2 linked regions of the Oryzias latipes genome follow. The protein of the gene in region 1 interacts with the protein of each later gene in a pairwise test. Links are inferred from orthologs where the notes say so. Each region holds a gene or a part of one and is shown on either strand. Other genes may lie near its edges.

Region 1 (7,319 bases):
TCACGTTTAAGATTTTTACTGATGCCAAAAGGAAAACAGCAAATCTCTAAAGTAAATCCTAAACAAGAGATTTCCAGAGAGCTGCCTAAACTATTTCAGTGAGAAAAACCAAACCTGGAGCTTTGCTGAAACATAAATTATACATTTCTATTCACAAATCTGCTTTCAAGTAACCCTTCTTTCCACCTTTATCCACCTTTGTCATGGTAGGGAGAACACGTCAATGTAAGGGGGGGGTCATATGGACCCCATAGGATAGCACAAGGGTTAAAGAACAGAACTTAAACATCCACTTCTGCAAAAGTCTAGTTTTCTTGTGAATTTTGCTGAAAAATCTAAACATTGTTGCCATTTTAAATGATCACCTTGGTGTAATAAACATTAATGTCTGTTACAGCTTTTATAATTGGATCAGTCTATTTAAATCAAATTATTTTTATCATTATTATTATCTTATAATTGTTTTTACTGAGTAAAATAAACAATAAAAGTGAAATAGATTTTTTTGTTTTAATGATTCATCATCATAAAATATAATATAACTTTTATCAGGTGATTATTCCTAAACATAAATAAATTATCTCTAATAATGTCTTAATGTTGAATCATAAAGAAACAGGAAAGATTAAAGTATTTTATCACAAGAAAACCACAAAGCAGATTGATTTTTTCTGCTTTATCCTATTTTTAAAAAAGTTCTTAAATTAATCTGTTCTTCCTTTATCTGTCTTAAAAACTGAGCTGATAGAAGAAAAGACTGGATTTAAATCAGAGAAATATCTTGTATTTCAGCAGAAAAATGATGCAATAAGTTAAAGCGACGCACCTGTAGACTTCATCTCGGACTATCCGCCTCCCACACTGGCCGAACGCGTTGTTGCCCAAACTGAAAACTAACAAATGACAAACACAAAAGTGAAGTTTTCAGATATAAAACAGGAGAGAAAAAGAAAAACACTTTCATTTGGAGGCGTCTTTCCATACAAATAAACTCAAATGAAATTGGACTTTTCTCAGATAAGTGATGAACGTCTGAATGAACTAAAACATAACATTTAAGGCAACGGAGCAAAAAGAAACAAACATCTTTGTGACACGTCTCTCCCCTGAGTGCCAGACATGAAGCCACAAAGCTCGTTTCAAATCATAAAAGTCCATTTTTATTGGTTTCACTCGTCACAGTGAACATCTGCTGCAGTGGAGTGGCGTTCAGAAGCACACATGAAGGAGGTTTCCGCTCCACCAAAGCACCAGAAGAAAAGACGCCAAAGCTCCTTCTAGCGCCAACGTTTCAACTCGTAGTCCACGAAAGGTTCTAACCAGGAGCAAATGTGTGTTTTGGTAATCCACCTTAAAAATAAATAAATACATAAAATGGAATCTGGACAAAATTATTTTGATTGAAAATAAAGATATATTTTAAAACGGAACATTTTGTTTCAAAACTGTGTCTTTTCTTCTCATTTTAGAGGCATTTGCATCATTTGATGCACGTCGTGTAAAACGCAAACTCAAAGAAATGCTGCGTTTGTGCGGCGACCAACAAATCTTACACCACAATCCAGCAGCAGAAGAATTTTCTGCACACTTTCTGCAGAAAAAAAAAGCATCATCGCACTAAAAGAATGAGCGAAACCGCAAAAGATGAACTGCAACGTGGAAAGGGAACACTGTTCTGTTCTGTTTGACAGACTGTGTGAAAGAAGACAGCATCCCTGATCTGGTTCAGCGGGCTGTTGGCCCCGCCCTGTTCTAGAAAAGCACAAACATCTCGTCTCACCTCCTTCTCTGTCGGTGAGGATCAGGGAGTGGGCGCGGCCGCATGCCACCTGGACCACCCTGGTCTGCAGAGGCTCTTTGAGGGGCAGCGCCACCGGAGACGGTTCCAGAACGTAATGGTAGCTGTGATCTGCGGGGGGACAGCAGCCACGCAAGATTTCAAAGAGACGAGAAGTCTTTGTGCTTTTGGCGAGTCTGCAGAGGTTCCTCTGAAAACGCGGCGTGACAATTACAGCTTTCCAATGGAACCCTTGACAGGAAAAACGTCTTCAGAAACATCATCTTTGAAATAATGAGGCTGTAGATGTCAAAAATGAGATTTTGTGTGTTTAAAAATGTTGAATTCGTTCTGGAACCTTTGAGAAATGAAGCTGCGCCCTCAACAACGCGCGTTCAAGCGGCCACTTCGTACACCACATCATGCCTTTTTAGTAATTTCCCAGAAGTCCCTGCAAAAGAACCAGTGTGCACTAAAGCTCACCAGACTGGCAATTAAAACTGTTTATACCAAACATTAAGTCACATAAACTGACAGTAAAAATGTTTTCCAAGAGTCCCTAAAATGCATATTCACATTTTATTTTCCCACTTGGAAAAGAGAAACCTGCAAAACTGTAAACGTACCGTCCTTATGAATTAAAAATAAACCAACAGCATTCTAATAAATAAGTGATTTTTAGCTCTGTGAGAGAAAACTGGAAAAGATTTAAAGGGTTGAAAAGCGAACGCGCCGGTTTTCATTTCAGCGTGGACACACCGCCGCCGCCTCTGATGGCGCCTCTTTGTTCCGACAGACTCGCAGTGATTAAGGAGAGCTGGTGTGCAGCATCAGAGGAGGTTTTTTTTTGCTTACGACGGCTGCGTTGGGTTCGCTGGAAGCCCAGCTGAGAGTCCTTGTTCAGGCCCATGCCCCACACTTTGGACACGTCTTTGGTGGAGGACGCCAGGAGAGTGAATCCGTAACCACAAGCAGCAGACGAGATCTGCAACAGAGACGGTGACCTTGAACTCCACCTTCAGCCACTTTCCTCAACAATTAGATGCAGAGCATTAGACTCAGTCAGCTGTGACTGATGACAGGAGCCCACTCAGACGCTGGAACCGCCAAAGTGAAGGACGGACAATAAAAGACTTCTCCGTCTACGCCAGAAAACTGCTAAACCACAGACTTAAAATAATACATACAGTGATTTTTATTTAATCCATCTAGTAACTTGAGGTTAATTCTCCACATTTAGATGCACAAGATCAGAAACAATCTCAAAATGTACACTACAACAGAGAAATATGATCAGATTTTACCTATTTTAACTTCATTATGCTCATATACATGAGTAAAAAGCCAAAAACACTATTTTGATCTGGTCTGTGATAGACACCTCGCAGCCAATCAGAGTCAAGTATTTACCCAGACCAGGTATAAGCAGGGTTAAAATTCTCTCATTCGTTTATAAATCTGTGCACGGCTTGGCAGCTTTTTCTATGAGCTGCTGAAGTTTGATGCTCCCTCTTCGGTCAGCTGCTCAGCAAAAACAAAGGAGCATGCGTTCGCCGCCGCCGCAGCAGCTCCATAACTTTGGAAAGAGCTTCCACTTCATGTCTGACAGCCTTTGTAAGTCTTTTCAAAAAAAGAAGAAAAAACAACTTTTTTAACTTGGATTTTACACACAGTAAAATAAATGCTCTCTCTTTTATTTTACTGCATTGTGATTTATTCTATTTTACCGAATAAGAAATGTTGAAAGCGTTTCATTCCATTCTCTATTGATTTTATATTCTTTTTGTGATGATAGTGATGATATTTCTAAATCAACTCAATTGAAGTGACTTCTTGCAAAACCTTTAAAGATGCTCTACCGTTTCTGCCGTCTCCAGACGGTACGGCGTCAGCTGACACTTGCGGGGTTTCTTCCTGCCGCTGTCTGGCACCACAAAGCTGGGGATCCCCAGAGCCCCAGTGAAGCTGAAGCCCCAGACAAACACTCTGTGGGTCGGCCGCTTGTGCTGGCCGACGTACTGAAACACGGGGCCGCTGCTGCTGCTCTCCTGGGCTCCTGAGGAGCTGTGCTGCGTTGCGTAGCCAAACGCCTGGAGGCCGGAGCTCCTGTGCCGGGAGCACAAGCGCACCGTGGAAAGAGCCATCCTGCACAGATACAAGCATTTTATTTTGAAATAAAGTCTCCTTTTATGGCACAAAGACACTAAGAAAAATGTTTTATCAACTGATTCTTTAACATTTCCTGTTTCCTTCAATGACCTCTTGGAAAATATCCAATGTTGAGTTTTCTAAAAACATGAAAACTTACAGATCTATTAAAAATAAGCATTTAAGTTGATGACATGCACTAATTTTAAGCTAAAAGGAGTTATGGATAAATAAATCTCATTCAATGAACTCAAACAGCTCATTTTACATAGTTATTTTAAAAGGTACTGCGACAGTTCATACTGGGATATTTTTTAAGCCAAATTAAAACATATTAAACAATAACCTTGATTTTCCATGTTTTTAATGCAACAATTTTGTTATTTCACTGATGCCGAACTGTAAAGAACATTTGTATTCATTTAAATTAAGCTTTTCAATGTATCATTTACAATCTTCATTAAAATATTCAAATATTTTATAGAAATGGCAGAAAAAATGAGTTCAACCATGTTTCCTTCGTACCTTTACTTTTCATTGAACCTAGCGTCTGTCCCGGTCTGCCGAAAGGAAGCAAATCTCCCCATCGGCTGTTTAAATTCAGATTTAACTTAAATCTTTTCAGTTCAAATCTCACTTGTTAGACGCCTATTTCTATCCAAGAACACGAGAGGTAGAAGAGATGAACTTCCGGGTAAAATGGTCTCGCGGTGGAATACTCTTCCGGTTAAGCAACACCGCCCCCTGCTGCTCTGGAGGAATATAACATCACAGCTATGGGTAAATGTCAGGGAAATAACTTTAGTTTTTGTATGGTGTCAGTTTTGCAACAAAGAAAAATTGTAAATGCAGCTTAAATTTATATATTTATATATATTTATTGAAGTCCGTGGGTTGTGAAATGTTTAATGAGTGGTGATTTAATTTTTATTTCTTTGGACAGTGAATTTTGTTTGAATTATGTTCAGAAGAATAGGGCTATTCTCGCGAGAATTTGAGCCTTTTATGTTGGCCACAGGTGAGCAGTGTTGCCAGATTGGGCGGGTTTCCGCCCAATTGGGCTTCTTTTGGTTATGTTGGGCGGGTAAAATTGGCATTGGGCGGGTCTATAAAATTTGGGCTGCTTTTCAAAATATTTAGCGGTTTTATTGTCATTATTATTATTTTTCTTATTATTTAAAATATTAAGTAAAAGTATACTAATTAATATATAGCCTAAAAAAAGCATTGTGAATATATGAAACATTACAGTAATCCCCCTGTTTAGTCCCCCCCCCCCCCCCCCCCCACCCCCCCCCCCCCGTGAATAACAAAAATCAGCGAATAATTGACGCTGTTTTAAAACTCCCAGAGCCTCTGCAGAGTCAGAACCCTATTCTGCCGTTTGGGTTCATTTCCAAAAGATGGAGATGCTGCAGGGCTTTTATTGGCTTTTATTAACCTTGTCAGAATGGTTACAGCTCGAACAAAAATAGCGCAGCCTGCTTATACACTCAGCCGGAGGAGAACGTTCAGCCAACGCGCACCCAGGTAGGCCCCGCCCCCTCTAATCCACCAGTCACCAGCCCACCGCTGATTGACATACGCTGTGGTCCAGCACCTGGCAGTGGCAGAAAGAGGGGGGCGCCATCAAAAGCCATCTAGAGTACACGATACGAGAAACCTATAACTGGATTTTCTGTACTTATTTTATAAAAAAAATTATTATAACAGACTTATTATATAATAATTTATTATTATTGCGTCATTTTTTATTAGGCTACGGCTATACTTTTACGTTCAACATTAGGTTTTTGCTAGGTTGAGATTTGGGCTGGTTTTTATTGACGTGGGCGGGTTTTACGATGAGTTTGGGCTGGAAACTGTCACTCAGATCTGGCAACACTGCAGGTGAGCACGTCTTTTGCTCACGAGGTTGCGGCAATTAGGAGTTCAAGCTGGGAGAAAGAGCTGCAAAAAAGAATACCTTGGACTAAAAGAGACTCTTTTTTCTTGACAAGCGGAAACGAGGTATTTGTTATGCTTGTTTTTTGTGTTATTTTGTATTGTTTATTTCTCCTCAAACGTGTATAATGTTTTGTTATAGTTTTCACATGAAAGCGAAGGCACGCAATGTCCCACAAGAAGTGTGTGATGACCTGCAGAAGTGCCCGCTAAGCAGAGCCGAGAGCCACGAGGAAGCCGACGCCCATTTCCTTACCGCGTGCAGGCAAGCATATGAAAGGACTGGTGTCCAATGAAGCCAGAAAGTTTTTTTTTTTTTACAAAAAGTAAAGAAATAGTGTTAAAAGGGGATTTAAAGGTTGCAGCTAAGGAAATAAGTTATTTGTCATCTGTTAAAGCGTTTCTACTATATTGTTACATATCAAGAAAATGTTTTTGTGACTTATTTAGAAAAAAAAAGTTCATTTAAAATATTTGAAAGCAAAGTTAAGACTACAGTTCATCAGTATTATTATTGTTACTTTAAGTGTTTTTCCATTACAATTTAGGCTTGAAGTGTTTGTAAATTTCATTTATTTAATTTAGTAACAGATAATATGCCTTTCATGTTTAGATAAACTTACTACATTTGAAAATTTAAACAAGTTAAGACATATTGTCTAAAACATATATTCCTAAACATTTGCACCCTAAAGCACTTGATAAGATGTCACATGCACAAACACACAATCAAGAGGAGCAAGCTGAGGAATCTGCCCAAGTTGAAAATGCTCACCTTACTCCCGAAGAAGAAGCAAAAACACCACGAAGAAGTGAAAGAATTCGAAGCTTGACTGAAAAAGGAAAAGAACTCCAAAAGGAAAAACTGAAAGCAATGGAACGCAAGTACAGAATGACATATGAAAAGTGGAGATATCATGCGAGAATTAGTAAAGAAATGTTATCAGATAAAGTTTCCAAGGAGGAGCTAAAGGAAATAATTGAGGACCTTCAAGCTACCTCTTCTGCTGTACAGGGGATGTACGATGAGCTCCGCCAAGTATGTACGCCCGAGTCAGACCTGCGGCGCAAGGTTGATACCTGTATGTCACTGTCAAGATTTATTATCCAAAAGACTAAAAGACAGCTTCAAGGGTCACCGGCAGATGAAGAGGAGGAACCTTGGCCAGATGTTGGATCAATCTTAAATTCAACAGTTTCATCATCTCAGTCAATGTCTGATCGGTCAAAGTGTGATTCTTTCCACTCAAGTGTCCAATCAGCTAAAAGAAGAGACGCTGCTGCATGTCAAGAGGTTTTGGCAGTGTTGGAGGAACAAGAAAAGGAAGCAGTTGAAACTTCAAAGGCTGAAGATAAAGAGCGTCTTGTTCAGTTTGAGTCAGAGAAACAAGCTAGACTTCAGGCTATACAAGACAAACGTAGAAAACTTGAACGACTCGAAGAAGTCAAA
Region 2 (7,164 bases), on another chromosome or scaffold:
TAGATAAAAATGGAAAAGTGAAGAAGTCTCTCACAACCTATGAGATCATGAAACCTGTGGAGACTCTAAAACAGGCGGCCACTCAAAACACATGAAGGCAGGACGGAGCCAGGTTCAACACAACTGTGAAATCAGTGACATGAATGTGTTTTTGTACAGAAATCCTTATGGTCTCATGGACGGTAATTTCATACATGAATATGAATCATGTGCCAATGCACATCATGACGTGTGTTATTGTATGTTTTGACATAAATGAGAACAAAAAAGTGAAACTGTCATTTGGTCAGAAAAAAAACATCTCTAATAATTCATTTGTGCCAATAATAGTATTTTGTGAAATACAGGGTGAATAAAAACACTTCTTGCTGCTTTTGATAAATGGTGTGTAATGCTATCATTGTGTTTTTTATTTTAAGTGTAAATATTTGTTTTGGAAAAGAAGCACAGCATGTTGTTACGGTTTTACCGTCTGTGCCGATGACTGATCAGGCTTACTGTATCTTGTTTTGCACAAATGAGTTTACATTTTGTCATCTGTGTATGTGGTTTTTTTTCATCCAATAAAGCTTTAAGGTCCAACATGACTTCATATAAACTGAGTCATCTTAAGGTTGTGTTGCTGCTGATAAAACATGGACCTGGTTCTGATGGTCATAGGTCATCTTTCCTGATCTGAACAGCGGCTCTTCTTTCTCCATCCAGTCTGCCGTGTGGAAATCTGGGAAGAAGAAGCTTATCTCTCTTTGAGCCGACTCTGGAGAATCTGATGGAGGGGAAAAAAAAATCATATTTGAAGGTGTCAAACTGAAGAACAGCAGTTAAAGTTCTGTAAATTAAAAACTTTGCAAAAAGCAAAGAAAGGCTGGAAGTTTATTTGTTTTAAACTTTAAAATATATATATATATATACCCCACTTATGTTGGTAATTTCGGTATAAATTACCAACGTACAGCGTAAAATAACCTGAAAGAACTGGATTATGTTCATGATGGTAAAAGCATTAAAGTCCCACTCTCATCTTGTTCTGGTAATTGTAATAAATGATTAAAGTTGGTCTTTAAACATCTCTAACCTGAGCCATGAGTTGTGTTTCTTGTATCTGTGAGCCCAAACTGGGCCCTGATAGAATTCGGGTCGGTGTATCTGGCTCTGAACACTTTGGTCGGTCCCATCAGTCCCCTCCAGTGACGGATTGCATCTTCTCTGGCTAAAACATACGCTCTCATCGGACCACTGCGAAGAATTTTACATTGATGGTTTCAACATTTGTAGGGGGGCAGCACACAGGATTACTATCAGTCATTTTTTTTTTTAAAGACATGGAGGCTCACCTCGACATAAATTCAACAAGTCTTTGATAGAAGAATCGGCCTGAAAATAAAGGCAAAACAGGGTCATCCATGCTCTGTTTTTTCATTCTCTTTGCACGGCAGCCTTTAAAGTTGGCTTCTTAGCAGCAAAGTAGGGTGATTCACTTGTTTTTGCCGTGCAAATGGTGTGACGTGTCGGCCAATTCTGCCTCCTGACTCAATTTCAGTCACATGGATGAAGAACAGCCTGCCTTTGTTCATTTCAGAAAATCTGCACAAGCACACGCTGTGCGCACACCTGAATGCTCGGCGTAAAACTTCTCCGAGTCCTGCCGTTCCCACACCAGATCCTTGCATCTGACAATTTTAAAATCGTTATCTAGAATTTTCTGGTGAAGAGCCTGAAAGATAAATCAGATACATCAATTTGTTAGTGATATTTAAACAAAAACAAAAAAGGTTTCGAACCATTCAAACAGAATTCATTGAGATACAAACAATCTATAGGAGTCAATCAGTAAGAGCTACAGTGAAGCAAAAATGTATTTGGGACACACAGGTTCTGTAAGTTGGTCCCTTTAAAAAGGAAAGAGGTACACATTAACTGTGAAAGACACAATAGACAAAAAGAAAAGAAAAAAAAATCGCATAAGACTTTTTAAAGAATTTATTTGTATAATGGAGCCAAAAATGGTCAATAATTAAAGTTCACCTCAACAATCTAATGTAATCCTGGTTGTCAAGGACAGAGGTCAAAGGTTTCCTGTAGGTCTTCACAGGTTTACAGACACTTTAGCTGCTATTTTAGTCCATTCCTCTATGCAGACCTTCTCAGACCTGTGATGTTTTTGGGCTGTTACTGGGCAACACAGACTTTCAACTCCCTCCACAGAATCTCTACTGGATTGAGGTCCAGACTGGCTAGACCACTCCAGAACCTTGAAATGCTTGTCACGTAGCTACCCCCTTGTTGCCCTGGTGATGAGTTTGGGATTTTTGTTATGCTGAAAGATCCAGCCACATATCATCCCCAATGCTCTTACTTATAGTTTCTGCCCAAAATCTCACTATACATGTTCCCATTCAACTTTTCCTGAAGACAGATCAGTTTATCCACCCTCTTTGCAAAAGAACAGACCCAGAGCATGATGTGTTCTTCCAGATCTGGTATACTTCTGGGATGTTTCTTCATCATTACCAAGATCATTTGTACATAAAAAGGTGAGATCTTCTTGCACAAAGCTCCAGGTGGAGGGAGATCGCCAGTGATCCTGTGTTTCTCCTATCTACTAATATTTGCTCCAATAGTTGATTTTGTCTCATCAGGCTGCTTCCTTTTTGTATATTGGTTCATCCCAGTCTTGTTCAGGTGAATAATCGTGTCCTGGTGTCCTTTGACAGCTCTTTGTTCATCATGGAAAGGTTGCATTCTCACTGTTAAAGAGTGTGGACAGGTGTCTTTTATACAGATAACTAGTTTAAAAAGGTGACATGAATGAAAAATAGAAACGCTACATAAAGAAGAAGTAAGAGGTTTATGAGAGGCAGCATTCTTACTTGTTTATAGGGGCAAATACTTATTTTCTTCTGCACCAATTGACACATTCTTTAAAAAGTCATACAATATGATTTCCTAGATTTTTTTTATATTCTGTCTTATTTATACAGAAATTTACATTACAATAAAATATGTCGTTGCAATTTAAAATCTACGTTTTCCTTTTCTTTGCAATCAGCTGAAACTTCTCTCTGAATTTCCTGAATATATATGGTCAATAAAGATTTACTTCCTGCTCTTTTATGCAGTTTTTCACAAGATTAGGCTGTTAATTAAAATAAACATCACACCCAAAATATATGTCAGATTCAAAACTGTGTGTTCCTTTTAAACTTTATTTTAACATTGTGTTTTTTTATATGGCGTCAACCTTTAGTGTGTATGTTTGGATTTACATTGAAGGCTGACCTCCATCATCAACGGATGAGCAACAGCATCAGGCTTAATGACCGCCAGAGTGAGCTGCAGCACTCTGGACAGGTGGCGAGTCGTCGGGAACATTTTCTGGTGAACAAGACACACAAGCAGCTGTTAACCAGAACACGTGCGACACAAAACACAAGTGGACTCCCGTTTACACGACGATGCTCAGTGAGAAACACACGAAAAACAAACACAAATGTGGTTCTTGAGGCGATATTGTGAGTTATTTTTTACTACAGATAATAATCATAATGAATACATTATAATAATAATAATAATAATAATAATAATAATAATAATAATAATAATAAAGAATCTTTCGCTGTCTTCAACAACCCAGCAACTTGCTCATTTTACCGACCTCTGACTCACTCTGCGAGGCTTGTGTCCAAAATAACAAGCGGAGGAGGCGCGTGAGCAATAACGGTTAACGCAGCCGCAGAACGCAGGCTATACACCCGCTATTCGATCTGATTTCAAACGTTCAATACCCTACATAATAGATACTTATTTTCACAATACCACTTTTTTATTTTAAACGTTAAAGTATCATAAAATCATAGTTTTAGCTATGATTAAACCTCCTCATTACAACATGTCCGTCCGTAAAAACAATCCCCCGAAACTAAAGCTTAAAAAAAGTTCCTTCTGTGAAAGGAGTAGAAACAAACCTCAAGTAAATGTATCAGAATCACATTTAAACAATTGATTACGTTTTTCTTTTTAATTTCTCGCTTTGTACAGCAATAAAACTTCAGAAAGTTAACGATTTTTAAAAGATTTATTTTTAAAGTTATAAACATGCTCCCAAAAATTTACCAAGGGACCTTGCAAACAATCAGAGTATAAGTTTCCCTTTCTTGGTTAAACTACTTAAATAATTTATCATTTCTTTTTTTGTTGTTGCCTATAATAGGCAATGTATCCCTGTTAATGGCTTTTCTTGCCAAGTTTCCCCAAACTAGCACCAGATTGCTTTGTTTACATTTATGTAGACATAAAAGCAATATTTTAGAACCTTGCAGAAGTACTCAAAAGCTTTAGTAGCACAAAAACGACAATGCAAATTTTCAATTAAATGAAAATTGTAATATTAAAGGAATAATATACATTTTAAAATGAGTTTTGCCATCTGAAACAAATTTTAAAACATGTCTCTGGCTGTACCACATGTTGTTTTTAACTGGATTTCTCTATAAATATTTAGATAGCTGCTGTTCATGTACTTTTATTTTTTATTTTTACATATTACTATATGTTTTATATGCGTTTGTGTGTATAGTGGTATCCCCATGTGTAAATGTTCTGTATTTTAGAACCATTGGTTTAGGACACACAACTACAAATGTGCACATTGTAAAAAGGTTAAATTCTTAGAGGAAAGGGGGAAAATAAAGTCACTTTAATCATAATGTGCATCTTTTGGCCTTCTCTTAGAAATAAACAGCAGCTACAAGCAGAAGCTGGAGCAGCAGGGGGATTGTGTCTGTGGAATCTTATTGCTGTCTAAGAGATCAGACATACAGTGTGATCTACAAACGGGGAGCGCATTCCAGCAGAGCAACATGGTCACACCCTTGAACAGTAGAGACTGAACACAAGTGTGTGGCTGACATTCAGGGAGATGGAAGAGGGGCAGTAGGGGTATGTCCATATAGGTTTTTATCCCACCTGCCCATGTCATATGACTCTGGGTGGGGGTGAAACCACAGCTGTTGTGTCCCATGAGGGGGTTGGAGAGGGCAAGTGATGTTTGTGGGGTTGGAGGGGACACATTTCTGTGTGAAAGAAATGATGCTTAAAATGGTTACTTTTTAAATCTACATTTCAAAAATGTCATAGAAATCCTTTTAAATGTAATAAATGGGTCTGATTTAGAAAGAGCAAAGTTTGTGTCTCTGCTTTAACTTTGTGATCTGCGGATCTATGGTGAGCTGCACACGAATGATGGAGATGAACACATGGCAGCAGTAATGATGGTGACTGCAGTTTCTTACTGAGTGACTCAGACAAAAGACCCTTGTTTCTTTGAACTCTATAAAGTTTAAGTTATAGGACGTCAGGCAGAGGGGCAGAGGCAACAGAGGAGCTCAATGTGATGTGATGACACATGGCCTAATCGCGTTTTCCACAAAGATCAGTCACGTCAGCCTGGATTCTAGTGGACACTAAGTATTATGTGTGGATCAGGGCTGACAACTACTGTTGAATGTCAAGTTCAGAAGAATCAGGAAAATAATTTATTTTGTTTAAAACCAACTTTTCACATGACCGTTTTTTTTTCTTGACATCTTTGTTGAGGCCAGAAAAGTAGCTCGCCATCAGTAAAATCTGGTCACATTTTTTCTGGGTCTTTATATTCTGTTCTAGCTGTTTACATTTTTTTATTAGAGTTTATTTAGTTGCCCACAAGGTTTATGAGTCACAAAAGATTGTTGGTGGTTGTGAATGGATAAGACAAATGTTCTGAACACAACATTGTTAAATCTGAAACTAAATAACCCATTTGTGTTAACATGATGGGTGGAGGTTTCCTTGAGGACCCCATCCAACAGAACTGATACCATTGATGATCACTGCTGACTCGTGCTGCAATCATCCTCTGCTGATTCACCCCCTTTCTCAAGGGCCTCAAACCCCTTTTATCTTTTTTCCTCTGTGGTACTGCTGCACTGCAGTTGTCACTCTTTGGTTTTTGGAATGAGTAGTTCCCCCCCAGTATAACAGGACTTGAATCATCTTAGTCAGGTCATTCTTTAAAGACAAATACATTTCTTTGTGGAATCATTATGAGGTGCATCAGAGAAAAACTGCTCTTGTTGGAATACTAGGTATATTTTCAAAATAAAAAATACTCTTAAATATTGAGTCCCCATTGAAGGATTTACATCCATTTTAAAAGTATGCCTCTGACAAAATATAGTTATTTGTGACTAAAGACGATAAAATCCTTACATAAGACAAATTTGATATTTTTACATGGAATAAATTTGTGGCACAGTATGTGTCAGTAGAGAAAATCATAAAAGTGAGCAAAGAAAAACATCCTAGTTCTAGACCAGATGCCCAGTTTTCAACTGACTATAGAGGTTATGTTAAAAGAAAACATCAGAATTTCAGAGAAATTCAAGAAACATAGACACAATATTTTAATTTGTTTTAGGTGCCCATCACAACCCAAAAGGAAGAAGAGCTTTCAAACATGGCGGTGGTAATGTCATGGTCTGGGTCTTCTACTCTGTTGTATCCAAATTGTAACATACTGGAGCACTTATAAACAAACTAAAATGTTCCATATTTTTAGTTTGTACTTTCATTCACACCATTAAATTTATTAGCTAATCTCAATGTGCAGTTTTGACAATGAATATTAATTTTGTTAAAAATCTGAAATTGTTATTTTGTGAATTTACTTGTGATGTTGTTGTGTTCTAGGAGGAGGCTTTTCTTTTGAGTCAATCATAATTTTGCTGTAATGCGGAAGCAGAAGCCAGTGTGCAAAGATCTCACCTGTCACCCCAGGACCCCCCGAACAGGGTCATTCAGAACGACACAGCCCCCGGTGAGACAGTGAGAGAGAGGCCTTTCATGTCTTGTTTGGATGGTGAGAACAGCCAGATTTGTGTTTCCTGTTTCAACACCTTTGGTGCCATCAGCAAGAGATTAAAGCCTAATGGAGGTGTTTGGAGTAACCTCATTTTTAGGCACAATTTTGGCATAATTTCTGTCTTTTTATGTTAAAGAAATTGCTTCACTTTCACAGCTCCATAGCTAATTTTTCAATTTGTTCAATATATTTTGCAGGTAATTTATTTTGCATTTGATTTTGCAGATTTTATGGGATGGTTTTGCTCTATTGTATCCATTTAG

Evidence for each region.
Region 2: the proteins of rcc1l (region 1) and nme6 interact in binary tests that used the Homo sapiens proteins (3 or more experiments, as listed by UniProt). The link is inferred for Oryzias latipes from reciprocal best matches to the Homo sapiens genes RCC1L and NME6.

Annotation. Positions count from the first base shown.
Region 1 is NC_019872.2:27,471,140-27,478,458, reverse strand, and holds the start of rcc1l (RCC1-like G exchanging factor-like protein), read right to left. Parts: upstream 4,624-7,319; 5' UTR 4,451-4,623; intron 3,923-4,450; 5' UTR 3,922-3,922; coding exon 3,637-3,921; intron 2,763-3,636; coding exon 2,633-2,762; intron 1,910-2,632; coding exon 1,781-1,909; intron 894-1,780; coding exon 827-893; intron 1-826. Other genes in the region: stress response protein NST1-like, read left to right, coding at 6,576-7,319. UniProt on the Homo sapiens protein: Guanine nucleotide exchange factor (GEF) for mitochondrial dynamin-related GTPase OPA1. Activates OPA1, by exchanging bound GDP for free GTP, and drives OPA1 and MFN1-dependent mitochondrial fusion. Plays an essential role in mitochondrial ribosome biogenesis.
Region 2 is NC_019882.2:13,733,838-13,741,001, forward strand, and holds nme6 (nucleoside diphosphate kinase 6), read right to left. Parts: upstream 3,912-7,164; 5' UTR 3,667-3,911; exon of another isoform or gene 3,656-3,666; intron 3,376-3,655; 5' UTR 3,373-3,375; coding exon 3,280-3,372; intron 1,715-3,279; coding exon 1,612-1,714; intron 1,375-1,611; coding exon 1,335-1,374; intron 1,237-1,334; coding exon 1,076-1,236; intron 767-1,075; coding exon 609-766; 3' UTR 550-608; downstream 1-549. Other genes in the region: brain and acute leukemia cytoplasmic protein-like, read left to right, coding at 1-95. UniProt on the Homo sapiens protein: Major role in the synthesis of nucleoside triphosphates other than ATP. The ATP gamma phosphate is transferred to the NDP beta phosphate via a ping-pong mechanism, using a phosphorylated active-site intermediate. Inhibitor of p53-induced apoptosis.